Schizosaccharomyces pombe: one gene and its partners. Each later gene encodes a partner of the first gene's protein in a complex. Each region holds a gene or a part of one and is shown in the gene's direction. Other genes may lie near its edges.

Region 1 (9,955 bases):
AAAAAAAAGTGTTATACTTTGCGCTGTTTTTATTGCATCGGCATCGTGTCATATCATCTGTATTTTAATTAGATCACATCAATTTTTTATTTCTTTTTGGGAACCTCGAATAACACATGACTAACTGCTGTTTTTGTAGAGTCTTTTCCATAACACATTAGGTGGAAAGTATAATCGTGGATTATCTGTTATTGACAGTTATGAAATTCTTCTTGGACATCCTTTGGACGAAGCAGCGTACATGAAAGCAGCTGTTTTGGGATGGATGGTCGAGTTGCTTCAATCTTTTTTCCTTATTGCTGATGACATTATGGATGCTTCCAAGACTAGAAGGGGTCAACCATGTTGGTATTTAATGCCTGGCGTTGGTAATATTGCTATTAATGACGCGTTTATGGTAGAATCTGCTATTTACTTTCTTTTGAAAAAGCATTTTCGTCAAGAGTCATGCTACGTTGATCTAATTGAACTTTTCCACGACGTAACTTTTCAAACGGAATTAGGGCAGCAACTCGATTTACTTACTGCTCCCGAAGACTCCGTCGATCTTTCGAAGTTTTCTCTTCAAAAGCATTCTTTCATTGTAATTTACAAGACTGCATTTTATTCCTTTTATTTGCCTGTCGCATTGGCAATGCATCTCGCTGGTGTAGCTACTCCTGAGAACTTGAAATGCGCCCAAGACATCCTTATTATCCTTGGTAAATACTTCCAAGTTCAAGATGATTATTTAGATTGCTATGGTGATCCTACGGTAACTGGTAAAATTGGGACTGATATTTTAGACAACAAATGTTCTTGGATTATCAATCTTGCTCTCGCAAAGTGTACTCCTGAACAACGTGTTATTTTGGACGACAATTATGGACGTAAAGATAGCGAAAGCGAAAAGAGAGTTAAAGCTGTTTTTGAGGAACTCAATATCCGTGGTGAATTCGAGAACTATGAGGAATCAGAAGTTTCTGAAATCAAAAAGCTAATTGATGGAGTTGATGAATCAACCGGTTTGAAAAAATCCATATTTACCACTTTCTTAGGAAAGATTTACAAAAGAAATAAGTAAATTTCTTGTTCTATGTTTTTATTCGACTCAAATTGGCAATTGCGCTGTAGATACTTTTTAGAGAATACATCCATTGTTGACAATACCAACTTTTAATATTGAATCATTGTATTGGTAAAGGACCTGCAAAATACTACATAACTTATATCATTAAAAATCCAGTTCTCATGAGGCGTATTAAAATATGTAACAAAAGGTGGTAATACGACTCCAAAATGAATCTTGACACTAGTATATAAAATGCGGTGTATAAAAGATAGCAAAAACAAAATGAATCCCAATTGGCGTTTACGCGTATAAACAGGGAATTTCTAAAGATTACAAATTAAATAAACTTTATTCTCTGCCGCGACCAAATAGTTGTAACATATATAAACATATTCCTTACGAAGGAATTATCTTAAATAATCAGTGGGTTTGTTTTCCGCCGCTAATGCCTCAATCTGACACCATTGCTGTTTTCTAATAATCATAACTTCTTCTTGCTTTATAATGGCCTGTTTATAATCCTCAACAAGTCCATTAAAAAAGTCCGCATCCATATCGACAAAAATTTGTAAAACATTACAAGCAATAGCTTGTATAGTGCTATTCCAATGCTCATTAGCAGTTTTGTAAAGAGAAGGATATATTATAGGGAGAAGGGTTACTACGTTTTGGCTGACAAGACTTGTGAAGTACTCATTGCTCCACAGACATAAGGCACGTTCGGCGACCTGGAAATGCATACTAGATATTGAGCGAGCTAGTTGCTGAAATAAAGGGGACATTATATTAACAAATTCGGAAGGCTCCAAAACTTCAAAGATATCTTCAATTTCATTCAAAAACAGTAATTCTTTAAAGCTGTTTATTCGTGGCCAGTACTTAAGAATGCCAGTCAAGACTGCCTTCGTTAAAGAAGGATCTTTATCGATAAACTGAACAATGCAATACGTAAGTTGGGGATGGTATAAAAAAACAGATTTAGTTTGATGTAAAGGAATAAGCACTTTGGACAAAAATATTTTATGTTCTTCTTTTAAAGGTACAGCAAATCCATTAATAATACTAATAAGTTAGTTTGTAAATCAATTTAGGAACTATAACCATTAATGAAACATACCTTCCAAGTATCTCCAGTAGTTCAGCGATTCCATGAAATTTTTCTCGTTCATAAATGAATTGCAAAAAAACATTATTCATAGACTTTCTAATGTATGACCTAAGGTTCAGAAATTTTCCGTAAATCCTATGTAATGTTGTTTTCAGAAGTTCGCGCTCACGCGGGTCTTCTGTGTCAAATAGTGCTAGCAAGCGATTAAAAAACCTACGATCAACGAGCGATTTTGCTTTACTGGCTCTAAAGTCAGGAGATTCTAGGAACTTAATAAATAATAAATACACCTCTTCCAAGTGAGGCCACGCTGGCTCCAAAAAAGGCTCATCGTCTAAAGCAAACATATCTGATGAATAATCATTAAGAGCAGGTGATATAGGCCGAAATACATTGAGGGAAAACTATAGTGATTAGATTTTTACAGTAATAAAAAGCAGAGGAGTAAACATACTGTATTGACAACATAAGGAAAAAGCGATGCGGAAGAAATACCGCGGTTTTCAGACACATAATCTATCATTTGTAATAAGGCTTCTCTTTTTATTTCTTTGCTAGCCAAATCGGAAGATGGATCATTAAAATCGAAAATAATATTGCATTGTTCAAGCTTCTTTATAAACAGTTCTTCACGTTCAGAGGTATGAACATCTAATTATATTAGCACAAGAATAAAAAAAAGTACATTATTAAAATAAGATATAAGAATCTTACTAAACGTACCATCAAATGAAGGCAACCGAACTAATGTTCTTTTCTCAGATACTTGAAATTGAGAGGAGTGTTCGCGTCGAGGTACTGGTCTAAGACTATGCGGAATGTCAACATTCTCAGCACCTGCTAAAAATTTATTTAAGGGAGTTGGCTGTGAAACTAAATAAGGAGGAGTGGATTGTGGGACAGATAAAAATGAGGCAGAAGATATGGAATCATTAGGAAATTCGTCTATGTTAGACGATACAGAATCCTACAAGTAAGTTAGTATGAAAATAATCATTTTGGTAGAAAATATTAAACTAACCGACGTATACTTACATTTTTTGGTTCTGGATAATTAGGTGGGAAATGGTTGGCGTCTTTAACTTTAGAAGTTTCAATTACGGGCAAAAACGTAGAGTAATCAGAATCCTCATGTCCAGATGCTAGAACCGTCGTATGTATTTTTTTATCAGAATTTTCATGTTTTTCATTATTTGAGTTGGCATGATGATTTCGTTTGTGCTTTAAAGTATCTTTTAGGAAATGACTCTTAAGTTTTTTAAGCTCGTGTTTTGAAGAATGGTGAGTGTCTGTGTGCTTCACGTCGTCAGTTTCCACGTAAGACCCATTTTTAGAGATATAGTGGCTTTTTGAATGACCATTTTTATGTGACCCTTGTTCATCCTTCAACGAAAGTGCTTTTACAAATTTACTCCTTAATCCTTTCATTAAAAGGCAAATGAGATGATTTCCTTGCTCAATTGCAAGTTATAAAGATAGCGAATAACCAAATTTAAAAAACGAATGATTCCTAGGATTGGGACCGAATGTAATTTCGAAACTTAAATGAATGCACCTATTACTGAATATGTAAACGTTGTCTTTCTTCAAAAGAACGTCTGTTAATAAATTTGTACACAATGATGAGTTAGAAAAGGGTAAATTTATGTGGTGGGTAAATAAATGATTTGTTCCTTTCAAGTACTCCGTAAATATGTCTCGGCAAGTCAAAGAGTTAACGGCAACAACCTCGGTAACAGAATTCTGAGCCCCTTTATAAGATGGGTATATAAGCTAAACACCCTAGGGAATAGTTAAGAGGGTTAACCTTGAAACTTCCTGTAATGACAACTTTACTATGAGTTATGTTTGGCAAATGAAGCAAAACGGGGCGAGTGGCTCGAATGTTATGGGACGCTACCGAAGGCTGGTAGTATGAAATAACGTACTTGGGAAATTGGCTGGTACTGTGAATTAACGGATCGGCAAAAATCTTGTGTTATGATGTTACTGTATTGTTGTACGATGTCCGAGGTTTGGAACAACATTATTTTAGCTGCCAAAAAATTAAAATGCTTTTGAAGCAATGATATTGATGTGTATCAATTAATTTTTCATTTGAGGAATAAGTTATCCAGATTATTAATTAAATTACTTTAAAAGCAAATATATATAAAGTCTTTGCCCTACTTTTTCCAGTGTTTTATAGCATACCATATTAGGCATATATCTTATGAATAGTCTAAAAATTTCTGACAATGAATATGCACTCATTGAGCATCCGGGCTTTGCTAATAACAAGGATGCATTTTTTCAGACATTAGGCGGTGTTCAATCAATTCAAAAGGTAAATTGCTAAAAAAGTATAGGAATGACCGGCTTACATCTTTAAGCTTCCCCTTTTATAAAACATGAATTTGATAATCTTTTTTGACCTAATACTAACAATTTCTAGGCATGTCAAACTTCATTTCAAAACCCAAAACAAGCTCTGTTGGAGTTGAATCTAAGGCCTAAAGATAAATACCATCATCCAGTACAAGCTCGAGTGCAATCCAGAAATGACCTATTAGTAACGATTAAAAAAATGGACAACTCTGTGCAAAATGTCAGTAGAATTCGTCAAGTTTTCTTATTCAGAGATATGGCTGATTTCCAGTATAGTACTCAAAATTCACCATTCGTTCAAAAATTAGATTCCACTCTGCGAGTGCTTGACTATAACGCCATTAATAAGTTTTCCATCGATCTAACTCCGGTACAAAGAAAACATGTCGACATGCCTCCTCCTCCTGTTTTCTCTCAGACAAGTCTACCCATGTCTTATAACTTCTTGCAAAATCCACTAGTAGGTCGAGTTCGGCTACCTAATGGGAAAACTACAATAGTCAATCTAAAAGGTCAATGCAGAGTTTGGATTATCACTACAAATATGGGGGTTGAAAGTGTACCTACATGTAGACACTCAAAATTAGGTGAGCCTTCGAAGACAATTCAGGAAGTTATAGAAGCTTTAAAACCTCTTTTTGAAAAACGACCCGTTTGGACGAGAAGAGCCTTATTAAATCATCTAGACCCGTCATATACTCACTATTTGAAATTTGCTCTTCCTTACCTTTCTTATTTATGGACTTCAGGTCCATTTAGAGATACATATACGCGGTTTGGATACGATCCTAGAAAAGATTCTAATGCAGCTGCTTACCAAGCTTTGTTCTTTAAACTCAAGCTAAATGGAAAACATAAAGGGACTAAAACTCACGTGTTTGATGGCAAGACTTTGTTTCCCACTAATCGTGTTTATCAAGTGTGCGATATCGTAGATCCCACAATTGCACCACTACTGAAAGATACTCAGTTACGTTCTGAATGTCATCGGGACACAGGATGGTATAGAAGCGGTCGTTACTATAAGGTTAGAGATCTTATGCGTGAAAAACTCTTTGCGCTGATCGAAGGAGAAATGCCTTCTGAAGTCGCGGTGAATATGATTTTAAACGCCGAAGAGGTAGAGGAATCTGACAGATATTCGAATTTTGATGAACAGGATAATACAGATTTAAATGATACTGTTAGAGGTTTGAATACTTCAGCAACAGATGATCGGATAAATGATTTAATGAGGAATTTAATGAAGAGAAGTCAAGAACATGAAGGCTTTGAGGATTTAGAGGAAATTGATGATGACTACGATGATATATTTGGTGATTGAACCCCCCCCCATGTCAAGGTACTTCGATACAAAAAATTATACTCAACTTAAATTTCATTATATTCTTTTTTGTTTAACTGACCATGGTAAATGGCTTGTAAAACATAACTTATGAGTAGGTTTCAACTATCAATTGTTTCTGATCTTTAATTCTCATTTTTTAATTCTGAAGTAGCTCGCTTGATTTTGTGGTTACAAATGTCAATAATTTTATCAGATGTTTAATCTTACAGCTGCTTAGTGGTGCGCTAGTCGATTGCCCCCGGATGAACCAAACAATAATACTACGCTGCATAGCGCAATTTAAAGTACATATTTTTTCCTGACTTGTTAGTACATAAACTGAGCCAACCTATTTGGCGAGGTTGTAATTGTATCTCCATTCTACTATTTCAATAGTACTTTTGGAGTTTGTATCATTTTAGACGAAAATGTTGGTTTATTATGGTGGATCTGCCTTGAGCGTTCAGAGTAAAAAAAAAATTTTGGAACTAACAGTTTCTGGAGTTTCTGATCTAAATGCTGTTTATTTCTACTTGATCTATACTAAGTCCAATTCTTCTTTAAATTGCGAAAGTCTGCGACCAATTTTGTCTGATTTGCAAGAATCTGAATTCAAGCCTGATGGAACAACGATGGTATATGTGTTTCCACGTCCAGGAACAATTTCTCCTTGGTCATCCAAAGCAACGAACATTGCCAATGTTTGTGGATATAAAGATGTGATTCGTATAGAGAGAGGTATTGCCTATTCAGTAGTTTTTAAAGATGACATTTCAGAAGAGATGCTTAAATCTGCTTTGAATCATCTTTATGATCGCATGACTGAAGCTTTAAGATTTAAACTTCCGGAAGAGGATGAAGTTTTTGATAAGCACGAACCAGCTCCACTTGTGAGAATAGAGCTTAACTGTGGGCAAGGTGGTGACAAGCAGGCTGCAACCGAGCGATTGAATCATGCCAATAAGAAGTTTGGATTAGCTTTGGCACCTGATGAAATTGATTATTTGGTTGAGTGCTATACCTCAGAGCCTAGTTTAAAGAGTCGTGAGCCTACAGACGTCGAACTTTTCATGTTTGGTCAAGTTAACTCAGAGCACTGTCGTCATAAAATTTTCAATGCTGATTGGACTATTGATGGCGAAAAGAAAGACTACAGTCTATTTAAAATGATTAGAAATACCCATTTAAAAAATCCCCAATATACAATTTCTGCTTATTCTGACAACGCCGCTGTCTTTGAGGGAAATTCGGGAACGTTGTTTGCTCCAGTCAATGGTATCTGGTCAATGAAGGATGAACCGGTTGAGTTTCTTGGTAAAGTTGAAACACACAATCATCCTACCGCTGTTTCTCCTTTTCCTGGTGCCGCTACCGGATCAGGTGGCGAAATTCGTGATGAAGGAGCTGTCGGGCAAGGCTCTTTATCCAAAGCGGGACTTGCCGGTTATAGCGTTTCAGACTTAAACATTCCTGGTTACAAGCAACCTTGGGAGTTGGATGTTGGAAAACCTTATCACATTGCTACTTCTCTTGATATTATGCTTGAGGCTCCAATTGGCAGTTCGGCTTTCAATAATGAATTTGGACGTCCTTGTATCAATGGCTATTTCCGCACATTTTGTATGGAAGTTCCACGCGGCGATGGAACTCTTGAGATACGTGGTTATCATAAGCCAATTATGGCCGCTGGTGGTATTGGCCGTATTCGCAAGCAGCATGCTTTCAAAAAAAGTATTGCACCTGGTAGTCCTATTATTGTTCTAGGAGGTCCTGCTTTATTAGTTGGTTTGGGTGGAGGAGCAGCATCCAGTATGAATGCTGGTGAAGGCTCTGAGGAACTAGATTTTGCATCTGTTCAACGTGGTAACCCTGAAATGCAGCGTCGTGCCCAAATGGTTATTGATGCTTGTACAACTATGGACGAGAATATAATTCAGTCAATTCACGATGTCGGTGCTGGTGGTGTATCCAATGCTTTGCCAGAATTGGTTCATGATGCTGGTTTGGGTGCCCGGTTTGAATTACGCGATATCCCTTGTATTGAACCTAGTATGTCCCCTATGCAAATTTGGTGTTGTGAGTCGCAAGAGCGTTACGTTTTATCAGTTAAATCAGAAGACCTGGATACTTTTAAATCCATTTGTGAAAGAGAACGATGCCCTTATGGAGTTGTTGGTTACTCTACTGTAGAGCAACGTTTGATTTTGACCGATAGACTTTACAATACTACTCCAATTGATTTGCCTATGGAAGTACTGTTTGGCAAGCCTCCCAAGATGTCTCGAGTAGCTGAAACTCAAACAATTCCCTTATCTAAATTTGATTCTTCTTTGAAGTCATATCTGGCGCCATCGAGTGACCCAATTCTTGATGCTGTGGAACGCGTATTAAGAATGCCTGCTGTTGCGTCTAAATCCTTCCTCATCACCATCGGAGATCGGAGTGTCACTGGTCTGATTGCTCGTGATCAAATGGTTGGTCCTTGGCAAGTACCTGTAGCCGACGTTGGCGTAACCGTCACGTCCTATGGAAAGGGAATTAACACTGGTGAAGCCCTCGCAATGGGTGAAAAGCCAATCAGTGCGTTAGTATCCGCTGCTGCCTCCGCTAGAATGGCTGTCGCTGAATGTATTATGAACCTTGTAGCAGCATCTATTCCTGCTTTAGATCGTATTCGTCTTAGCGCCAACTGGATGGCAGCTCCTTCGCATCCTGGAGAAGGTGCAAAACTTTATGAAGCAGTGCAAGCGATAGGCTTAGAACTGTGCCCATCACTTGGTATTAGCATTCCTGTGGGTAAAGATTCAATGTCCATGAGTATGAAATGGAATGAAGACGGTAGGGAGAAATCCGTAACTGCACCTCTTTCACTTATAATTACTGGCTTCTCTCCTGTTGATGATCTTTATTCCATTTGGACTCCGCAATTACGTAAAGTTGAGGACATCGGATCCACCTCATTGATTTTTATTGATTTAGCAAATGGAAAACAACGTTTAGGCGGTTCTATACTTGCTCAGTCCTATAAGCAGTTGGGTGATGAGGTGCCGGATCTTGATAATTTAGACACTTTCAAGAATTTCATTAACGTTATTACTCAACTGCATAAAACCAACTACATTCAGGCTTATCATGATAAGTCTGACGGAGGTTTGTTTGTTACTCTTAGTGAAATGGCTTTTGCCGGTCATGTTGGTATTGAATGTGAGTTAGATTCTTTGTCATCCGATAATATTGCGGCTTTGTTCAATGAAGAATTAGGCGCTGTAATTCAAGTTTGTGATCGTGACATTGCCAAGGTATTGGAGTTATTTGCTGCTAATGGTTTGAGTACTTGTGTTCATCGCATCGGTAAAGTACTTTCCGGCCAGGCTCAAACAATATCTTTTAGCCGTTCTGGTAAAATAATCTTCAAATCAACTCGCTCTAAATTACACGGAATTTGGCATGAAACCTCTTATAAAATGCAAGAAATTCGTGACAATCCTGAATGTGCACGACAGGAAATGGAAAATATTGCCGATAATAATGATCCTGGTTTAGGATACCACCTTACATTTGATCCAAATGTGTCAGTTACCGCTGATTTGGCTTTAACTAGTCGTCCCAAAGTAGCAATTCTTCGTGAACAAGGCGTAAATGGTTATTTGGAAATGGCATATGCTTTTTATGCATCCGGTTTTACTGCCGTGGATGTTCACATGACTGATATCCTCAGCGGTAGAGTTCATTTGGATGATTTTGTCGGTATTGCTGCTTGTGGTGGGTTTTCTTATGGTGATGTTTTAGGATCTGGCAATGGATGGGCTACTTCCATCCTTCTTCACGAAGATGCTCGTAATGAGTTTTACCGTTTCTTTAACGAGCGTAAAGACACATTTGGTTTGGGTATTTGTAATGGATGTCAACTGTTCAGTCGTCTGAAATCACTTATTCCAGGAGCTAAAAGCTGGCCTATGTTTACATTTAATGAGTCAGCGCAATACGAAGGTCGTGCAGTTATGTTAAAGATCGATGAAACAAGTGGTTCAAAATCCATTTTCACTGAAAGTATGGCTGGATCTAGTTTACCCGTGGTCGTTGCCCATGGAGAAGGTAGAGC
Region 2 (9,927 bases), on another chromosome or scaffold:
AGGATTAATTGAAAGGTAACCATTAAAAGATACAACGTAATGGTCCTATACGTGTAATTCGTGTATCTGCCAACAAAAGCTGGTAGCTTCCACTAAATTGAAATCTGCTGCCGATGCCGTTCCAGTGAAAACGTAAAACATCATGGCAGACGCGAACTGTTAATGTACGTTACAGTCAATACGGATACAAATAACGAGTTTCGACTAAACATTTTAACACGTATAAGAATTTCGATGTTAAAGTTATTTATAGATGTGCATGAGCGCGGTATTTCCTCCTGAAGCATATTATCTTATAAAGAAACATATATATTGCGCTTATTGTTATTCTTATACGCAAAGTATCTATTAATATTTTTAAATACAAATTAGGTCAATAAAGTCCGACTGAAGGAGTAATTTATGTTTTTAACAGTGCTTCTCTAGGTTTAATATTACTTAAATCACCTATAGCTGTAAAAAGGTAATAAATGACCTTTTGGAAGAATACTTGAATGCGTCTCAAGTATTTAACGCGGTCTAGTATAGCATAGCGTAATGGAGTACAATTAACTAAACTAAGCACGGTGGAAGCACAAGTTTTCAAATTTTCATCAACTGTAAGCAAATGGCGGACGAACCATTGCTTCTCAATTTTGTTGTTGATAATGCTCAATCAAGAAAGCCTGAAGCCTTGAAGTCTAGTCGTCGCTGGACTGATCGCGCTAGAGATAGAAAAAGGCAAAAACGCAATTCTAATGAATCATCAAAATCAACCGTTAAAAGAAATTCAGGCACAAATGGTGCTTCCACTGATTATAAAAATTCACAAAAGGAAAAAGTAATAAATCCTGTGTTTGATCCTAGAAAACCAGCTCATGAGCTAAAAGGCAACAAGCGCGATAATACTTTTGTTACATCTTTGTTTACGGGTGATGATTCTGAGCATTTTTCACAGGACGTTGGTCAAAATCTTGAGGATAATCAAATTAGTAATATTGGGACTACAAAGGAGGCATCCAACGCACCTATTAAAACTACCAACTTTGCTGGTGTTCAATTAGATACTCAACTGGCTGATCATTTAAATAATAAAATGAACATTAGCGCTCCCACTGCTATCCAAAGCTGTTGTCTTCCAGCATTGCTAAACACAGATGATAAGGATGCGTTCATTGAAGCACAAACCGGATCGGGTAAAACTTTGGCTTATTTACTACCAATTGTGCAACGATTGATTCGACTTCCTAAAAACTTACACACCCGTACTAGCGGTATATATGCTGTGATTATGGCTCCAACCCGGGAGTTATGCCAACAAATTTATAACGTTGCTAACAAGCTCAACAATAATCCGTTATCACACTGGATTGTCTCCTGTAATGTGATAGGTGGTGAGAAGAAAAAAAGTGAAAAGGCTCGCATACGAAAGGGTGTTAATATTTTAATTGGAACGCCTGGTCGTTTGGCGGATCATTTAGAAAATACGGAAGCACTGGATGTTAGTCAAGTACGATGGGTCGTTTTGGATGAAGGTGATAGGTTGATGGATATGGGGTTTGAAGAAACTTTGACTAAAATTTTATCTTATTTGGAATCACAAAGCAGTATTATTAAGAAGGATCTCAGTATTCCTTCTCGTAAGGTTACAATGCTTTGCTCCGCTACAATGAAAGATACCGTAAAGCGTTTAAGTGATTCCGCTTTAAAAGATGCTTTGTACTTAAAATCATCTATTGTGGAGGAAACCAATGACGGTTATAGCCAGGCACCCGAGCAGCTTCTTCAAAGATATGTTGTTGTTCCTCCAAAACTGAGGCTTGTAAGCTTGGTTGCCCTATTGCGAAGTCATGTTAGATCATATAAGAAAATAATAATTTTTCTTTCTTGTTCAGATAGTGTTGATTTTCACTTTGAAGCTTTTAGATGTGCGATAAACGCTGATGAAATGGAAGAGGCCGTGAAAGAGAAACCGGACTCTGAGGGTGATATCATTTCAAATGCTCCAGCTCTGAGAATAGATGGCAAATCAAATGTATACCGATTACACGGTTCCTTGTCTCAACAAATCAGGACTTCGACGCTGAATCTTTTTTCTTCAAGTGAAGATTCTGGTTCACATATACTTTTGTGTACAGATGTGGCAGCCCGTGGTCTTGATCTGCCAAATGTTGATTTGGTTGTGCAGTATGATGCTCCGTTTAGTACCGACGATTATTTGCATAGAATTGGCAGAACAGCTAGGGCTGGACACAATGGTGCAGCTATTATGTTTTTACTCCCGAAGGAAAGTGAATATATTAATTTGTTAAAGTCTTCAGTTAGCGCTAATATATTGGAGCAGCCTAATGGTCCATCTGGGTTGTTGAGTGCTGGTTTTTCGCAAGGTAAAACAAACACCAATGATTGGCAAGATCGTGCAACAGAATGGCAGTTGGAATTGGAGCGTTTTATATTAGAAAATGAACCTATGAGGAATATTGCAAAAAGGGCTTTTACTTCTTATGTGAGGGCTTATGCAACACATCTTTCATCAGAAAGAAGTATTTTTAACATGCGTGACCTTCATTTGGGACATATTGCTAAGTCCTTCGCTTTGCGAGAAGCGCCGGGCAAAATATCTGGTGCAAATTCTTCAAAGCCAAGAAAGCAGGGTGGTTCGGTTGATAAAGGTAAAAGTAAATCATCGAAAGACATTGCTGCTTTGATGCACAGAAAAGCAATGGAACATTATTCAACGGAACACAATATAGGATAAACATTATTTGTGTAAAATTTAAGGTTCAAACGGTTTTTGGTTGGCATTTGTATATATTTATATAATTTAATTTCGATCTTTTAAACGCAATAACAATCTTTCGAAGATAAAATCTCTTGCAAGTGATTATGGAGAAGTTAAGTTATCATTTCTAAACAAGTATTGAGAGGAATTATGAATGGCGTGCCATGGTAATGCTTGGCAATTGTATCTGCTATACAGGTTATGTATAACAGCTGAGATATATCAAACACCACATAATATTACTATTGCTGCTTATGTAGTAGTCTTGCACCATTGCGTTATGTGATAACTCAATTTCAAGGACTCACTATCCCTTATCCAAATAATATTTGTAATGTCAGTTGTGGAGCTACTATTTTAAATTATTAAAAGATTCAAGACAAAAAATAAAAAAGTTAGGAATAGCCTACAGCACCCCGGATTCCCATGTTGTCTCCAACCATAGTACTAACGAGGCCCTCAGACGCTTAACTGCAGTGATCGGACGGGAACTGGTGTTTTCGCCTAGGTATGGCCGTAGACGTTTGTACCTAACGATAATTCTTTTTAAAATTAAACAAACAATTAGAAAATAATGAAATCCAAGCATCAAAATTTAAAGATTTGATCAAGAAAAAACTGCTATAGGAGGTTCCTAATATTAAGTTTGAACTACTGATTAAATTATTTAATAGTAGCATCACATACTATTCCCTATAATCCTTTAATAGTGTCAGAATAATGCTCTCAGCAAACCCGTAGTAATTGAAAGAAATTTGTTGCATATTTACCAGTGAAATTGAGCTAACATTTCACATAACGTTTAGTAGATTCAATATAACTATATATATATTTTTTTCGATTACCGAAATACTTCCTTTGACAAAATCGTGTTAACAGAACTAAAAATGAGGAGAGATAGGCTGGTAAAAAGAGCAATCGAATTTCATTGAATGTGTTAAATACTTAAAATAAATTTAACTATTTGCAAAATTTATTCTTTATGAAGTTTCTGCATGGACTCGTATTAACCAACAAATGTTTGAAGTTAAGTCTAAGTTTCACACTCACAATTAAAGCAGGATTGAGCTGAACCAAGACGAACAGCAACAAATTAAGAATTGGGATTTTTTAACAAATTAATTTTTTCAAAGTGGAATAATTATTTGAAATAAATATTTTCTTTGAGCACTTGCAAACGAGGTTTTGATTAGGTCAATATTGCTTTGATGAAGTTCACCACCATTCCTAATGAATATTGACGCGTATGGGCCCTAAATCTAAGGAATACGAAAATCCAAGCTCTTATAAAAACGATGAAGATAATGATGATGACGGCGATTTTGTTTTAGAGAACGTTATGTCTGAAGAAGACATAGAAATAGAAACACCGTCAAGAAACCGAAAAAGGGTAAGTACTACTCGTCGAACCCCCTCAAAACCTATTAGAAGTCAACCTTTAACACCTTCATCTTCCAAAGGCGCTGGGAATGAACCGAAGAGTCAGAATTCTAGTACTACTCGTGGAAGTGCTAAAAAGCAAAGTTCAAAAGGTTTAGAAGAGAAGTTAATAAATTCTTACGGGACTCACGTTGAATCTTTAAATAAAGGAAGGAGGCTAATCGAAATTTGGAAATATTATGAGACTGCTCCTGGTCAATCTTCCTTTGAAGGTCAGACGTCGTCTGATTCCAAGTTGCAAACACTTCTGAATCTCGACGGACAGCAGTTATTATCATATTCCGAAAATCCTTTTTATTTGTTTGAAGTTAAAAATTTAAGCATAAGTTTCCATTTTGAATCACCACAGCAAGTTGAACCCTGTCAACCGGTAAACCCTTTTAAGGAAAATCCACAGAAATCGGGGTTTGTGGTGAATACAGGGATTCCTTTATCGTCTGTTTCATGGTTACCAACAAATAAAGAAACACAGTTTTTAGCTGTAGGAGGGATGCTAAAATTTTCAGAAACTACTGAATCAGTATTTATGCGAACTTCTGGACGGAATCAAATTCAACTTTGGAAACTAGAAAACAAAACCAATTTTAAGTCGGAATTTATATTGTACCATGATTGGGGAAGTGTTCTTCAACTAGAGTGGTGCCCCACAATTTCGGTTGAAGATTCCATTCTTGGGTTTTTAGCAGTTGTCTGCAGCGATGGAAAGCTGCGCGTTCTTCGTGTACCTCGATCACCAGTAAAATTTCATGGTATTAAACATCTTTTTTTTTCATTCTCCTAACATGAACTAGTATTCGTCGAACAAGCAGACTTTACTTTTGGATTTAATGATTCTCTTATTTCTTGTTGCACATGGGTTTCCCCAGAACATGGCGATATACATCAAATTTTGGTCGGCTGCTCTAACGGTAAGCCTGTTAAACTAAATTATTGTTACTAATTAAGTATAAGGTTATTTAGCTCTGTGGGATATTTTGAGCAGCCAGGAATGTCCCCTTTTTTACATCCCATATCATGATTCTTACATACATAATGTAGTACAGTGCCTGGATGACTTTCCGTGGCTTTTTCTGACCACTGCATTTGATTGTTATACTCGAATATTTGATATTCGCGATCCCATAATTGATAATAGACCGCTTTCTCATAAACGAGGTACGATTATTATTATTATAGCTTCTTCCGAACTAACTTAATATCAGATATTTGTTACACAATCACTTGGAACAACATGTTGCAGTCGATTATCTCCTGTAGCGAATCTCAATCTGTGGTCATCGAATCTTTACGAGGCACTTCGACACAGTTATTAGATGAAAGAAACGGCTCAATAATATCTCTCTCAAACAGCAAGTTCCATCCTTTTGTAGCGTGTGCTGCTTCGGATGGAATAGTTACGATCGTCAATCCATTCCGTCTTTTGGGATTCTCTCACAAACAAAAAGCTAATGTGCATAGAATATTCCAGTTAGAATATAGCGAAAAACAGGATTCATATCGTATGTTAGATGGTTTTCGTCCAAGGCTTCCCAAAGCCAAAAAGCTAGACATGTATATTTATCCATGGCAAATCCAAGTGAACAAAGTCGAGTGGAATGGAAACAAAGGTTATGCTGGTTGGTTAGCTAGTGGTATGGCTTGCGGAATCCTACGAGTTGAAGATCTCTCAGCCGTTGAAAGAAGATGATAAAATTATCCTTTATTAATACAATATATACGATTTTTTATAAATAAGATCTAGCATTTGTGTTTCATCACTTTTTTTTGGAGAAAAACACATACATTGTATTCTATTCTATTTTTTCTGCATCATTAAGATATGGTTTTATGTACCATGTCGGTAATTTTCGTAGGAAATAAAAATGAGGTTCAAAAACGGCATTCAACCTAAATGTCAAATCTGATCTTCAGAATCTAAAAAGTTTGGATTATTTGATAACTTGTTTAAAAATTTTGCATGCCAATCCTGAAAAACTCGAAGTGGTATGAATGTATCATTGGGCCGCAGGTCACCTAACCCAATGGAGTTGGGAGGAAGTTGAGATGTCGCAAAGCTTGCTAGGAAATTATATAAGTTGGTTAAAATTTTTTGGGCAACAGAAGTTACGGGAGGTAAGGGTTTGGCGATGACATTCGATGCTGAAGTGCTTACAGCTGGTGTTTCTGTGAAATTGGTCAAAGGCTCTACACTAATACCTAACATGGCAGTAATTCCAACGCAATTTTCATTTTCCGAAAGAGTTTGTATGGTGTTTTTTAAACGGAAAATTGCACTAGGCTTTTCGTTTGTCAAATAACCTAAAAATTGAAAAGGCTTTCCAGGCCATTGAAAGTAAACCTTAGCACCCATTCCGACTGGGAATGGAGAGTTTGGCAAAAGAAAAACCACAATGTGATTCAAGCTTTCCGCAGAGTCTAGTTGGAAGACAAATTGATTATCGGCGACTTGTTGCAAATTCGTTTGCACTAGATTGTGTATTAGTTATGTGTATATAATAAAAACATTTATTTAAGTTTTATTTTTGAACTTCTAGCGTGAAAAAACTTCGTTTAATGTAAAAATTGTGCGAAAGTGCCAGAGAAGCGACATACCTAATCGACCAGCACAGATGGCACCAAACATGATTTTCGTTAAGTAGAAGAACTACAAGTACGCAGGAAACAAAAAAATATAGAGTAGTCTTTTCTTTGAAAAAGTCGTCTGACAATAAATTGGCCTGTACGAAAGGTTAGGAGTAAAAAACAAATCCCGTTCTAAAATCCTGCTACTTAGAAGAAGTAAAAATCAAGTAACAAGGTTGCTACATTTGATGACGTAGTATGGACTGGTACACAGGGTGAGGATAGAATGAGAATTAGCATAACGTTCTAAAATTTATTATAATTTTTTTTTTTTTTTATTTTTGTTGTTATTTATTTATTTTTAATTGGATTTGTTGACTTACAAGCCTATTTATGCGTTGTAATATTATCATTATTATTATATGGTATTTTTTTTTATTTGAACGATTCATCCACGTTAATAAATAAGTTATAACTACTAAAAAAAAAAAAAATTATATATATATATATATATCTACATGGAATGCTTGTTTGTGTCATGGGTACTTTACTATTCAAAGTACCTGAGCTTAGTACTTACCTATTTAATTATGATTTTTTGCGTATGAAAAGCATCTAACGCTTCTTTCTGCAAACACGATTTTTTTGGACTGCTGAGTTAAAACCTCATAACCGCATTTTTTAACGCAAACAGTGAACGATTAGGGACGAATTATCAACTGTTTTTAAGCAGATGTCAGTTTCAATACAACTAGCTACAAATTCTAGCAACAGTACGGTTGGACAAATAAAATATATTCAATAAAACATATGTGATAGTACAATTACGCATTCTGTTTTGTTCCTCCACTCCAAAGCGAAAATTAATTCCTCAAACATTTTTTTTATTAACCGAATCCATTCTGCAGATATTTGTAGTCAAACAAGCAACTAAATGTTCTATCAAACCACCTACTAATTAATGAAGATACAAACGATTGATCAAATTAAAAAGCATGAATGTCTCAAATCTAAGAATATTGATATTATCAAAAAATCACGACTAGCCTAAAAAATATAATGTACACCACAAGCGAACCGAATTTACTATCAAAACCAGTAAACAAGGATTGTAAAAGGTGTTTGTTCTAGGTCTCAAGCCATTTAATTACAACCTCATTGCTTTAAGCCAGACTGCAATTGGTAAAAGAGACCATTGGCAAAGAAAAATTAATTCCTTCAAGTAAATATATACCGAGAAGCAGAGAGCAGTCACATACGTTGAACAGTTGAATTCGTTATATTACATAAAGAGTAGCACAGTATTCAATCGTTCCATGGTATAAACAATAAATACACCAAGGATAAAAAATAAGAAATCAGCGTTACTTAAAAGTATTTAATTGTAGTGTACCCATATGGAATCGGACGTTTGTGCATCATTAATTTTACCATAACCGCGGAGTTTATACTTAAAGTCGTATAATAAAGTGAGTATGGTAAGTGACGACGCATTGAACAGCAAAGTGTCTCTATTCTATAAGCTGAACATTCAATTCAATTTATACGGCTACGTACTATATTCCTTCACGAGATAACGCTTCTAATTAACGTAATTATAAAGCAAGTAAGGTTCTATTGTTTTCAAGCAACTCTAAAATTTAGACAATTTGGATGCAAAATTGTCGTTCTTTTCCTGACATAATCCAATTCATCTTTACAACACTCCCTTCGTGCTTGGGACTTCAGAACTTCCAGTAAGACTAGTAGCCGCGCGCATGGCAACAGCCAGAGATTTAAAAGCGCTTTCAGCACGATGATGGTCATTACTACCATATAAGCAGGTAACATGCAAAGTAATTCCAGCTGCTACCGAAAAGGAATATAGTAAGTGAGGGATCATTTCACAGGACAATTCCCCAACCTTTTCACGCTTTAATCCCAAATCGATAACAGCATAGGGCCGTCCCGACAAGTCAACTACGCTTCTAGAAAGAGCTTCGTCAAGTGGACAATAAGCATGTCCAAATCTTTTAACGCCGGCAAAGTTACCCATAGCCTGCTTGAATGCAATACCAAGTGCAATAGCAGTATCTTCTGCAGTGTGATGATCATCGATGATTAAATCACCTCTTGAGTAAAGTCGTAAGCTCCAGCCTGCATGTTTAGCCAGTGCATGATACATGTGATCCAAGAATCCAATTCCCGTGTCTACTTGGATTACTTGTTCTCCCTTTTGGTTTGCATGCTTGGAAGTTATAAGTTCATCAATAAAATTCGACTCTTCAGGTAAGGGAGCTTTGTCCAAAGCGATGGCAACGCTGATTTTCGTTTCGTTCGTATTTCTTTCTACAAAAGCCCTCCTCATCGTGATGCAAAACTACTCTTTTCAATTAGATCAACCGAGAATTACAGGAATTTATGGAAAACTTCCTTATTAAAAAATGACAAATAGTTCGGTGTCGTGAAATTGCAAGCCTTTTCACCCAAAAGATTTTTGCTAGATATTAGACTACCGCTATATCCAGCAAGCCAATTACAGGTACGGTAATTATTCGATAAAGCAAGTCAACACCCCATACACAAGATATCCTTAAACGAGGTGAACGATGTTTGTTAAAAATTCGCTGAAATTGGTTATTCATATTCAACGATATAAATGAGTTCAATGTCTTATTGTAAATAGCGTATTTAATTAACATGATATTAACTTTTCCTTAGCTTTAACTACGCAGTTTTGTATGGGAATGTAACGTCCGTTAGTGCACTGGAAAAAAAGTTATCTATAGATTAAACTATGGCTTTTTTATTAGGCATATAAAAAGTAATAATGAAATACATTTTAAAAACTTGTAAAATCTGCAACATCGAATTGAGGACCCGTAAAACTAATGAGCTGACCCTTTTGCACTTTATTTACTTTGTACGTAGATGCCTGAAAATTCCAACTGCGGGTTACCAAATGCAAAATACAACATCAACATGCGTTGGGATCATTTAATAAACATTAATTAATAGCATAGTTGAATGCAATGATATTTACTAACATACATATGTTCCTTTGATCTATATGCAACATAGAAAACTGAGCACGCTCAAACTTTCAAATATTTTAAAAACAACTAGTCGAAGATGAAGGGAAGGTATAGTGTGTACTATGTTTCAATATATAAGGAAATTGAAGA
Region 3 (12,232 bases), on another chromosome or scaffold:
TACATTAAGTAGTGGTTTATGTAGCTTGATGGAGATTGGTATAAACTTGTATATTTGATTTCTTTCTCCATCGTAATTTGACAGCTAACCTATTTAATGTGGTTTTACCTTTTCAGCAGTTGACACTCATACCAAAATTTATTGGTGTACGCTTTGAACTTACCTACAAGATATTCGCCTAAGTACCTATTTGTTGTTACCTACAAAACCCTTTTAGTTGCTCGTCTTCCTACCAAAAACCAAGAGCATGTAAGCTTGGTGTCTTCCTTATTTACCATTTTCTGTTCTAATTTTCATAATAAATAAAAAATTAATTACTAGAATGACAGATAGGTCTTCAAATGAGGGCGTCGTGTTAAATAAAGAAAACTATCCATTTCCCCGAAGAAATGGTTCAATTCATGGCGAAATTACAGATGTCAAACGGCGACGTTTAAGCGAAAGAAATGGATATGGTGATAAAAAGGGCTCATCCTCAAAAGAAAAAACTTCATCTTTTGAGGATGAGCTGGCTGAATACGCTTCACAATTGGACCAAGATGAAATAAAATGTAAGGTTTTTTGGATAGCTAACCATTTATTAGTATACTGACTCCTTGATAGCTTCAAAAGATCAGCAGTGGCAACGACCAGCTTTACCTGCAATAAATCCTGAGAAGGATGATATTTATTTTCAGCAAATCGATAGTGAGGAGTTCACAGAAGGATCTGTACCTTCAATTCGTTTGTTTGGTGTTACTGACAATGGAAACAGCATCCTTGTTCATGTTGTGGGATTCCTTCCGTACTTTTATGTTAAAGCCCCGGTTGGATTTCGACCTGAGATGCTAGAACGTTTCACACAAGATTTAGATGCTACTTGTAATGGGGGTGTGATCGATCATTGCATTATAGAGATGAAGGAAAATTTATATGGATTTCAGGGAAATGAAAAATCTCCATTCATTAAAATCTTTACTACTAACCCTCGTATATTATCTCGAGCACGAAATGTATTTGAAAGAGGAGAATTCAACTTCGAAGAGCTTTTCCCTGTTGGTGTCGGTGTCACTACTTTTGAGAGCAATACGCAATATCTTCTTAGATTCATGATTGACTGTGATGTTGTTGGTATGAATTGGATTCATCTTCCTGCTTCAAAATATCAATTTCGTTACCAGAATCGAGTTTCTAATTGTCAAATTGAAGCTTGGATTAATTACAAAGACTTGATCAGTCTTCCAGCTGAAGGCCAGTGGTCTAAAATGGCCCCACTGAGGATCATGAGCTTTGATATTGAATGCGCAGGTCGCAAAGGCGTTTTTCCTGATCCCTCTATTGACCCTGTAATTCAAATTGCAAGTATAGTAACGCAGTATGGAGACTCCACTCCTTTTGTTCGTAATGTCTTTTGTGTTGATACATGCTCACAAATCGTTGGAACACAAGTATATGAATTTCAAAATCAGGCTGAAATGCTTTCAAGTTGGTCAAAATTTGTTCGTGATGTTGACCCAGATGTTTTAATTGGGTACAACATCTGCAACTTTGATATCCCTTACCTCTTGGATCGAGCAAAAAGCTTACGCATTCACAATTTCCCATTACTTGGCCGTATTCATAATTTTTTTTCTGTCGCAAAGGAAACCACGTTTTCAAGTAAAGCATATGGTACTCGTGAAAGCAAAACCACTAGTATTCCTGGGCGTTTGCAGCTTGATATGTTACAAGTAATGCAGCGTGATTTTAAGCTTCGATCTTACTCTTTAAATGCAGTCTGCTCTCAGTTTCTAGGCGAGCAAAAAGAAGATGTACACTATTCTATCATCACTGACTTGCAAAATGGCACTGCCGATTCTAGAAGACGTTTAGCTATTTATTGTCTGAAAGATGCATATTTACCCCAACGCTTAATGGACAAATTAATGTGTTTTGTTAACTATACTGAAATGGCAAGAGTAACAGGTGTACCGTTTAATTTTCTTCTTGCTAGAGGCCAACAGATTAAAGTTATTTCTCAATTGTTTCGCAAAGCTCTTCAACATGACCTAGTTGTTCCAAATATACGTGTAAATGGAACAGATGAGCAATATGAAGGTGCTACAGTCATTGAACCGATTAAAGGATACTATGATACCCCTATTGCAACACTGGATTTTAGTTCACTTTATCCTTCGATTATGCAAGCCCATAATTTATGCTATACGACATTACTTGACTCAAATACTGCAGAATTATTAAAACTTAAGCAAGATGTTGACTACTCAGTGACTCCGAACGGAGATTATTTCGTTAAACCACATGTTCGTAAAGGACTACTCCCTATTATCTTAGCTGATTTACTTAATGCACGTAAGAAAGCAAAAGCAGATCTAAAAAAGGAAACGGACCCATTCAAAAAGGCTGTTTTGGATGGTAGACAGCTAGCTTTAAAAGTAAGTGCTAATTCAGTATATGGATTTACTGGTGCTACCAACGGACGTTTGCCGTGTTTAGCAATTTCTTCTTCTGTTACCTCTTATGGTCGACAAATGATTGAAAAAACCAAGGATGTTGTAGAAAAGAGATACAGAATTGAGAATGGATACTCTCACGATGCAGTTGTAATCTATGGTGACACTGATTCTGTTATGGTTAAGTTTGGCGTTAAAACGTTACCTGAAGCCATGAAATTAGGAGAGGAAGCAGCTAATTATGTTTCAGACCAGTTTCCGAATCCTATTAAACTGGAGTTTGAGAAAGTGTACTTTCCATATCTTTTAATTTCCAAAAAACGTTATGCAGGATTATTTTGGACTCGTACAGATACTTATGATAAAATGGACTCTAAAGGAATAGAAACTGTCAGAAGAGATAACTGTCCTCTAGTATCTTATGTGATTGACACAGCTTTGAGAAAAATGTTAATTGATCAGGATGTAGAGGGTGCACAGTTGTTTACAAAAAAAGTTATTTCCGATTTGTTACAAAACAAAATTGATATGTCACAACTTGTAATCACAAAGGCATTATCAAAAACTGATTATGCTGCCAAAATGGCACACGTTGAATTGGCTGAGCGAATGCGTAAACGAGATGCTGGCTCCGCCCCAGCCATAGGAGATCGCGTTGCATACGTTATTATTAAAGGTGCACAAGGTGATCAATTTTATATGAGGTCGGAGGACCCTATATATGTATTGGAAAATAACATTCCTATTGATGCAAAATATTATTTGGAAAATCAACTCTCCAAACCTTTGCTTAGAATTTTTGAGCCTATTCTTGGTGAAAAAGCTAGCTCTTTACTTCATGGTGACCATACTCGGACGATTTCCATGGCAGCCCCCAGTGTTGGAGGAATAATGAAATTCGCAGTAAAGGTTGAGACCTGTCTTGGATGCAAAGCTCCCATAAAAAAAGGTAAAACTGCTTTATGTGAGAATTGTCTAAATAGATCGGCGGAACTGTATCAACGTCAGGTTGCTCAAGTGAATGATTTAGAAGTTCGTTTTGCTCGCTTATGGACTCAATGTCAGCGATGCCAAGGAAGTATGCATCAAGACGTCATTTGTACCAGTAGAGACTGCCCCATATTTTATATGCGAATTGCAGAACACAAGAAACTTCAGCAATCTGTTGACTTACTGAAAAGATTTGATGAAATGTCCTGGTGAAAAAGATGGATGTTTTTAATTACTAAATGTGTATATCAAACGTAATGATGAAAAGTTATAATAAAAATTCTACTTTTCTTAAGTACTTTTGCAATGCGAAAACTAAACGAGTTTGCCAAAGCTATACCTTTATGTTTGCTTTTTTTTAATTCAGGACAATATGATAAGTAAATTGAATCATCATAATGGAAGGCATGTCGAATGAGAGGCGAAGACTCCCAGATAAACAAGAAAGGTAATTTTACTGACAAAGCACACTTGCCAGCAATAACCTGGAATAAAAGTAAACAGTGACGTCCAAATAAATGATCAAAAAATGCTTTTTTCAGAAGATTCATAAATTGCTGCACTGTTGGAGGAAATAGTTGCTCCATAAATGGGTATGTAATCTTTTTGTAAAGAAGGATGCTTGAATTTTGGTCTTTTAAGAAGCAATGAGAAGCAGCATTGTTTTTAGATTGATGAAATACTGCGATTTGGGTGCAGAAACCGTAAGTAGATGATGGGCGAAAATGTAACAAATCGTCACCATCTATTAGATCATTTAGCAAACCACAGCCCGTAAATTCAACAGTATACTCTGGGTATCTTTTACAAATTTTATAAGCCCATTTAGCAAACTCTTTTCGATCCCATTCAAAAACGTGTTCAGGATGTCTAAAATTGGTAGAAGTACGAGATGATATACTACTTGTCAAGGTTGATAGTTTCTCAAAGATTGTGTTAAATTCAAAATTCGGAGTTGACACTACGCAAACATTGGGCTTCAAGTTTCCAAAAACAAGTTTTTCAAAGGCTAAAATCTCTGCAACTTGACAATGCTCAATAAACTCTGAAGCTACAACCGCATCAACATGTTTATAATGAGTAAAATCTTTAATATTACCAAGCAATAATTCAATATGTAGCGGTCGCCAACGTAGTTGTAAAAAGTCTTCGGTTCTAACCTGTAAAGCCTCAGTAGCTCTTTCAATACTTTGTTCGTTAATATCAATACCGGCCAGAAATTCTATAGGCACTTGATCATTGCAAGGTACTAAATATGATAGAAAACGAGCATCTCCACATCCAATGTCTAACAAAGATCGCACAGGGAAGCCTCCTTGAAGTATTTTAAATAATTTCCTTCGACGCTGTACATGCAAAGGTGGGTAAAAGCTAGAGACACCCATTGTCTAAACTCAAAGTATTTTTGGTACACTTTCTTCACGTTAGTCAAATAACTACCTATTAACTGTGAATGTTCGTTTCAAAACCACTATTTAAGCCTTTTCAAATTCATTACGAAGCGAATTGTTATTAATTCTTTGCTAAGTCCATTGCAATATGATTTCGATGACTGCCGTTAAGACACCGAACCAAATTTAATTGAAAAGGGAATTGTTGACTAGTGCGAAGTGTCATTTTCAACGTTAAATAATAAAATTATCTTAGCTCCGAATCTATACTTTTCAATTTCCTCTTTAAAATTGTTATAATAGCATGATATTTAATTACAATAAAATATGTAGCATTATGCAAAACGAGAACAAAAAAAGCACATACAACCAGCGAAGAGTAGACGAAAATTATACGGCAAATTTCAAAAGAATGTACCTATATCCATTTTTTACAGCGCTCATCATAGATGACCATTTACTCAGAAGCTCCTCGCCGAGCAAGCATATCGGCTTGTTGATTACCGTAATCGGTACTGTGTCCTTTCACGTACTCTAGCGAAACATTTCTGTCACTCATCAAATCTGAAGCGCGGTTGATCAAATCCAAATTTTTTACAGGTTGTGAATTGCTAGTCTTAAAGTCATTTTTCTTCCATTTAGGCAGCCATGTGGTTAGTGACTTAATGGAATAATTGCTGTCAGAGCGGATGGTCAAATCGCCAGATGTATTTTCAAGGGCTAGGATTATGGCTTGCAATTCCGCACGATTGTTGGTTTGCTCTTCCCCAGCCAACGGTACTGAAATATTTCTTGGGTCATCATTTCCGAAAAAAACTCCACAGCCAGCAACAGCTCCTTTTTTCCCATTTCGCAAACTAGAACCGTCAGCATAGACGACCTGTCGATCCGAGCACGCAATTGATTTTTCATGAGTGTCATTCGAAAATATTTCAATATCTTTTTCGGTACTATAACTTCTAGAAATTTTCTTTCTATATTTATCGGAGTGTCTAGCAGAGTAATTTGAGGAACTAGAAGAATATGGAGAGTACCCATAACTTGTTGTACTGCGGCGATATGGGCCAGAAGACGAGGAGTAGCGACTTCCTTCGGTCCTGCAAAATTCCTGAGCAGCCTCATAGCTGTCAAATTTCTTGTAGCGATTACCTCCATAACCTTTCACCTGATCCGACGCCTCATCCCTAAAAATTAGTAAGAGTTTGTTAAACAACAAGGTGTATCCATCAAGGAAATGTTAATAAGAGATCATCTTGAAAAAACCGATTCAGATTGAATTGAAGCAAAGCATACGACCGTATCGAAACTTGCTTAACGTGAAACTTATATTTAACAACGAAACCATTTTCTTGAGATACGCAGTCTTACCATGTACTATATATACCAGTATTTCGACCACGCGCTACTGCATAGTATGCACGCTTATTTCCACCCATTTCGTAATGCGAAGATTCAAAAATAGCTTTAAAATAGTAAAACTTAGTAAAACTTGGGAGTTTTTCCCAAAACTTTGCAAAAATACTTGTAGTTGACAAATTGAGCTGTAGTCTTATGAGTTATTGAAAATAGTGCAGAAAAAAGAAGGATTTGGATTTATAAATTTATATTAATTTGTAAAAGAGTTCAATTGACGATTAATAATGGTAGAGCATCAGGAAATGTCACATATCTGGACTACTGCAGTACGATACATAATAAAACGGGTTTGCTTATTTACTAGCTGCATAATCTCTGCACACTATATTACGGTAAGCTAGTTAGATCTCCGCGACTGTTATACCGCCTGACATTAAAATTAATACACAATTGATAGTATATTTTATTAGTTAAAAGCTCCTTAAATATAGAATACTCATTTTATGTCCTTAGCTCATTTAATGTAGTCTAATTTCAAACAAGCAGAAAAATGTATTGTTTGTTTAGTAATAATTGTTTAAGTCATTTTACCTTTTTAAGATTATACTTTCATAAAGAATCCTCATCTCTGTTGGCCTCTGAGTAGTTTGCAAATTGCGCAATTGTTATTCTAAAAAGAATCTTTTAGTCAGAGAAAAGATTATGCTTTTGCAGTGGGTATTGCCGCGCGTAGCAGAAAATTTGTAAACTATTCCACCATGTGCCCTTTTCAATTTAGTGCTAATTAAATGTTCAGTTTTGCGGACTTTAGCGTTCACTTCAATATTCCAGAATTCATATTTAAAAGAAAAGTTTTGAGAAAGTTTTCTTACTTTGTTTTATCAGCTGTATATATCATTTAGAGCTGTGCTTTATGTAACCATCATTTCGGTTACAAGGTTGGCATATGAGAATATACTCATAATAGCTACCATCTGCTTACTGAATAAGAGCATATTAAAATGTGAACCGATTTAGTCGTTTATTGTGTCGGTATACTATTTAGCAGTCGTATAACTCAATACATCGGTTAAAGTATATTAAATATGTCTTTAAGTTCTTCTGTATAAAATTTAACAAAATTTTAAAAACACTCATAAAGTATCACTATTTTCACTAACTTTCACCTCTCGAACCACGCTTTCCTTTTGTACATAGTGTTAGAACCAGCGTTCGAATCGCCCTTATGGATTCACTCATTCGGCATTGCTCAGAAGAAATTGCTTTGGATGGATCATCGGGATGTAGCATAGATCGTTTATGGGAATTTGCTGCAAATTTTTTTTTTCGGCAAGGTATCGTACAAAATTTAGACGATAACTATAAAACATTTGTGTGGCCTTTAATTTTAAAAGAAGATGGAATTGAGGTTTGGATTGAAGATGAAGATGCCACTGGATTACGAAGTAAAATGCAAGAAATCCCTTGGAATTACCAAGATATCACGATTGAGTTACGCGCTCGTATACGCTTATTCGCTTCAGAAGACAGGCAATGGCTTACTCTCACTTACAAGACGAAGACAGATTCAAAAATTCAACCTTTAGCCTTTGAATTATTGTCTTGCATATCTAGATATAGGCAGGAAGGTGTTGATAGAATCCAATTATGTAAGGAGACTAAGCAGGAGCCTCGAAGCGTTTACGGTCGTATTCAAGCGCTAGAAGATGCTTCTTTAATATCAAAGGTTGCCATTAATCGAAGCAGAGCACAAACTGCTCTGCTAGTTCTAAAGCGATTTGAGTCAGAGAACAGCACAATTAACGAAACTGTTGCTCAGGTATCTGGTAAGCAAATTTATAACACTGAAAAAATTCGTAGCAATATATGTGATGCTGTTCAGTCTTCACGTAACGGAATTTGCCGTCATGTTGATGCTCGTGCGATGGTGAATTTAAACCACAGTCGCTGGGAACGAAGATATTATGCTCGACAAGTTACATATTTACACAATAATGGATACCTTCGCAAATGCCTTACTTTTGTTCCTAACTCTCCAGAGCGTTGCATTCGCTGTTTACAATTTATAAAACCTTACATTTCATCTTTAGACGCAACTGAGGACGACGTTGATTTTACTGAAGTGGATGATATTCCAGAAGACGATGAATTAGAGGAAGAAGAACCACTCCTTCCGTCAAAAGAAGAATTTGATGCTTCCTTTTTGCAGCCACTAGCCGACGTTGGACCTACTCTTCCCCAATGGTCTCGTTTTCGTCCATTGGAATTCCAGTGTTTTGTCTTAATCAGAAATGCCGGATTTCATGGGGTAATCACTTTACAAATTTTGAGTGGCCTTACAGGAATACGTTTTAACAAACCTTTATTTAAGCTCCTTGGTTCTTTAGTGGAACATCGTTCCAGTGTGCCAAACCATCTCTCACACATGAGTATTACTCGATTTGAAGATAAAACTAAAAAGTCGAGACAATATAGATACTTTACGCTTCAGTCTCAGTTAAATCGCCTTATTCGAGATGGCATTCCTGCCGAAACAATTTCGAAGCTATTACCTCACGTTCACTCACTCGCTGGTGAATTTTCTCCAATTGACTCTTCCCTTTTCTTAAATTCTCTACATCATAAGGGAAATATGGAATCTAATGCGGAAGTATCTCCCGACGGAATGACTTTATTGCCAAGAAAAAGAGGTAGACCTAGAAAATCTGCAAATATTTCTGTAACCTCATCTCCCATTCGGCCCTCTAAAAATGAAAATAATCTACCTTCCCTTGCTATTTCACCAGTTTCCGAAGGGTTCATCCAAAATGCTACAATTTCTACCCCTAGCACTAGTAGCAACCTAAGCATAGCAGGATCTTTGACACCCTCGAAAACGTCACGAATTTATAGAGGCCTTGCTCCTCTAAAAAACCCAGAATTTAATGAAGACCATGTTAAAAAAGCAGAACATTTGGAGCCTCTTTTGAACGTGTCATCAAGTGTTCCTTCGAAGAATTTCACGGTTAGTTCGCCAGATCACCTAAAATATGGAAACACATCTTCTTTACAAGTCTCTGATTCTCAAAGCTCAATTGATTTAGACTCTTCATTTCATTATCCCGTTTCAGTAGACTCACAATTATCCCATTCGACAGGCAGTCTAATGGCTAACTTTTCATCCCCTACGAAAAAGCGCCGTTTGGAATCTGTAGACTTTATATTCCTACAACGTAAAGGTTTAATTCTTTCCTATCTCGTTGAACAGAATGGGGCTTTTGAAATATCTCGAAAGATGTTTGAAGACTTGGCAGACCTTAAAGTGCGACGAAACCCGGAAACTTCTAGGACCGTTATGGATAGGAGAACTTTTCAGCAAACCCTTGAAAAATTAATGCAAGAGAAAAAGGTTCGTAAATTAGTGATTGCAACAAACAATGGACTTGGGAAGCTCGTTAGAAAAGATATCGTGGTACAATACGATATGAAGCCTGATTCACCTAGGTTTCAACAGTTAAGAGCTCAAATTACAACTCCTGAAATCGAAAAACAATCAACTCCAGAAATATTAAAAGATGTAGATGTCGATTTTTTGAAAAGGAATACTTCTTTGTCAAGGCGTAAATCTATGCCAGCGGAAATAAAACGTCACAAGGAATCTTCTGAGACTAAACCTGTTGATAAAGAGGAGGTGAAGAAAAATGAAAAGGAGAAAGACGATCCAATGAGACTCGCGCAACAACTTTTAGAATCATTGGCTCCCGATTTCGCACTGCACGAAAATACCCAACAGAAAAGCCCAGTAGAAAAACCTAAAAAGTTGCGGAAAGATAGATACGCTTCAGTGGAGGAATTTGATTATTTTTCTTCAACTGAACATGCAAGCAAACGTTCAGTTAAACGCTTCAAAAATGATTTTACATCAGATGAGGATGAGACCTTGATTAGAGCGGTTGTTATTACTCAAATTTATTATGGTGGGACCAACAGATTAATCAAATGGGAGGCTGTACAGAAATGCTTTCCTAACCGGGACATATATGCTCTTACTAGAAGATATTTATCCATTAGACAACATACAAAATTTAAAGGCTTGCAACAGTTTTTATCAGAAAATTGGCAGCAAATGTACAAAGATGCTGTCTCAAGAAAAGATTTAATGCCATATCCTGATTCTGTTGATGATTTTGATCCTACCCCATATGTTAAGGCGTCTTGTAGACCTTATATGATTAGTTCTTCAAATCTTGCTACTACTAGGTTACCGAGAGACCTCGTTGACGTTTATGAAACTTACAATATAGAGGTTGTTAAACAAGAAACTAATTTCCGGGAAATGATATTTGATCCTTCCCTGTCAGTTGCCTCGAAAATGAATGCGTATTGTGATATGCCTTTTACCATGCCGCTTTCCTTAAATGACAAACAAAATAATGAAGGGGATGAGAATTGTGAGAAAGGTCAGTTGTTTGATGCGAAGTCTACTATCAAGAGCATCGTTGCCATCCCAGACGCTACATATGATGCTCGGTTTTCGCAAGAACGTCTTATGCAGTATCCAGAAGATATTCTCATCGCTGCTCATCAAGAATTATTGGATAAGAGAATAATTACTAGAGTTAATTCAGAAAACAGTAGATTGCAGCCTGGTCGAAACTTCCAGTTTACGGAGAAATTTGCAAGTTCCCTCAAGTCTCCTTTACCTCCATTTTTATTGTCACAAGCCAAGCGATTTAATAAATTTTTATTGGAGGGTTTTCAAAATCATAAGAATCATTTATTTGAAGAAACATCTAACAGTGGAACTCTCGCATGTATCCTTGATTTATTATCTCAAGGAAAGTTGCAAATATCTATAGTCGGAAGCAAGTTTAATGAGTATGGTCTATCTGAAGGCTATCGTACTCGTTTGCTAGAACATGACAATATCAATGTAACTCTTGTTCTCAGCGGCAAAGAAAGTGAATCTAAAAAAAATTATGGTGTTACTGAAAAGTTGGCAACTCCACCTTCGCATGAGCCACGGCTATGGTTAAATGGTAAATGCGAGCTTATTGAGATGATATGGATGAATATCGAGCAGTCCATTGTATACCAACTGCTTCGAAAACCCGGAATCTTGAGATCCCAACTGACTAACTTACTATTTCCCGGATTAGAACCCCGTGAGTTTAACGAAGTACTTGATTACTTTATAGCAGCAGGTGCCGCTATTGAAAAGGATGGCTTATATCTAAACCATAATTATCTCTTTAAATTAACTTAGCCTTTTAAATGTCACCATGATGAGATGATGCAAGCTGAGTATTTTCTTTCAATAGGCTTGTCGATTTGGAACATTTATATTACAAGCAACGATTTAATGTTTATTTGTACAGTATTTAGGATTCATTTTTAAATTATCTAAAAGATACCACGCTGTGTCTGCTTCTAATCTATAATTAATTATATTAGCGTGTTTTGAATTAATCTGATTTCGCGTTTTCTTCCATCTAAACTTTATATCGTATAAAAATCAAAAAGGTTTCATCGACTGTTTTGCTGAAAAGGTGAAGAAAACTTGAATCGAGGTTATCTCTTTTCTTTCTGTTTTATGTACATAACTTTAGCTCCTATAGAAAAAAGAAAAAACCTGCATCATGTAGATTTGTTTAACTAATTTACGTATGCATATATATATATATATATATATATTAGTAGAGTAAGGTTGATTTTCTAACCATACTTTATTTACGGTAGCATCATTCGTACCTTTTCGTACGTTACGACCACGTTGAAAGTTTTCAAAGAAATTACTTTTTAAACACAAAAGAACATAAATAAAAGAGAAGTAAATATGTCAGACAGTCCAATTGAACTTATGCGGTCCACGCTTGCTGGTTTTCAAATTGCACCAGATGTGAAAACCATCTCAAACATTCAAGACATTCGCGCACAGATACAGAGCTTCAGAGAAAAAGAATTGGAAGGATCTCAAACCAAATTTAAAGGTTAGTTTTAATCTAGAAATAAACGACCATGCATTAACTGTGAATAGTGCTTTCAAGAAAATTAGAAATATCTACCCAGGCTATGGAGTCATTA

The links.
Region 2: sfc1 (region 1) and sfc6 share a complex: the UniProt entries of both Schizosaccharomyces pombe proteins name them as parts of the TFIIIC complex.
Region 3: sfc1 (region 1) and sfc3 share a complex: the UniProt entries of both Schizosaccharomyces pombe proteins name them as parts of the TFIIIC complex.

The regions. Positions count from the first base shown.
Region 1 is NC_003424.3:1,329,560-1,339,514, reverse strand, and holds sfc1 (transcription factor TFIIIC subunit Sfc1), read left to right. Parts: upstream 1-4,181; 5' UTR 4,182-4,371; coding exon 4,372-4,485; exon of another isoform or gene 4,486-4,541; intron 4,542-4,593; coding exon 4,594-5,850; 3' UTR 5,851-6,168; downstream 6,169-9,955. Other genes in the region: geranyltranstransferase Fps1, read left to right, coding at 140-1,063; serine/threonine protein phosphatase PP2A regulatory subunit B-56 Par2, read right to left, coding at 1,459-2,113, 2,169-2,563, 2,614-2,810, 2,883-3,126, 3,195-3,587; phosphoribosylformylglycinamidine synthase Ade3, read left to right, coding at 6,282-9,955. UniProt on the Schizosaccharomyces pombe protein: TFIIIC mediates tRNA and 5S RNA gene activation by binding to intragenic promoter elements.
Region 2 is NC_003423.3:2,258,207-2,268,133, forward strand, and holds sfc6 (transcription factor TFIIIC subunit Sfc6), read left to right. Parts: upstream 1-3,978; 5' UTR 3,979-4,007; coding exon 4,008-4,950; exon of another isoform or gene 4,951-4,992; coding exon 4,993-5,109; intron 5,110-5,152; coding exon 5,153-5,356; intron 5,357-5,403; coding exon 5,404-5,888; 3' UTR 5,889-5,958; downstream 5,959-9,927. Other genes in the region: ATP-dependent RNA helicase Dbp7, read left to right, coding at 608-2,737; hikeshi family nuclear import carrier Opi10, read right to left, coding at 6,096-6,667, 6,794-6,824; imidazoleglycerol-phosphate dehydratase His5, read right to left, coding at 8,460-9,110. UniProt on the Schizosaccharomyces pombe protein: TFIIIC mediates tRNA and 5S RNA gene activation by binding to intragenic promoter elements.
Region 3 is NC_003423.3:2,743,521-2,755,752, forward strand, and holds sfc3 (transcription factor TFIIIC subunit Sfc3), read left to right. Parts: upstream 1-7,362; 5' UTR 7,363-7,394; coding exon 7,395-11,414; 3' UTR 11,415-11,641; downstream 11,642-12,232. Other genes in the region: DNA polymerase delta catalytic subunit Cdc6, read left to right, coding at 323-551, 604-3,635; hen1 (S-adenosylmethionine-dependent methyltransferase), read right to left, coding at 3,671-4,807; ribonuclease H Rnh1, read right to left, coding at 5,271-5,997, 6,182-6,249; protein Spc24, read left to right, coding at 11,985-12,138, 12,186-12,232. UniProt on the Schizosaccharomyces pombe protein: TFIIIC mediates tRNA and 5S RNA gene activation by binding to intragenic promoter elements.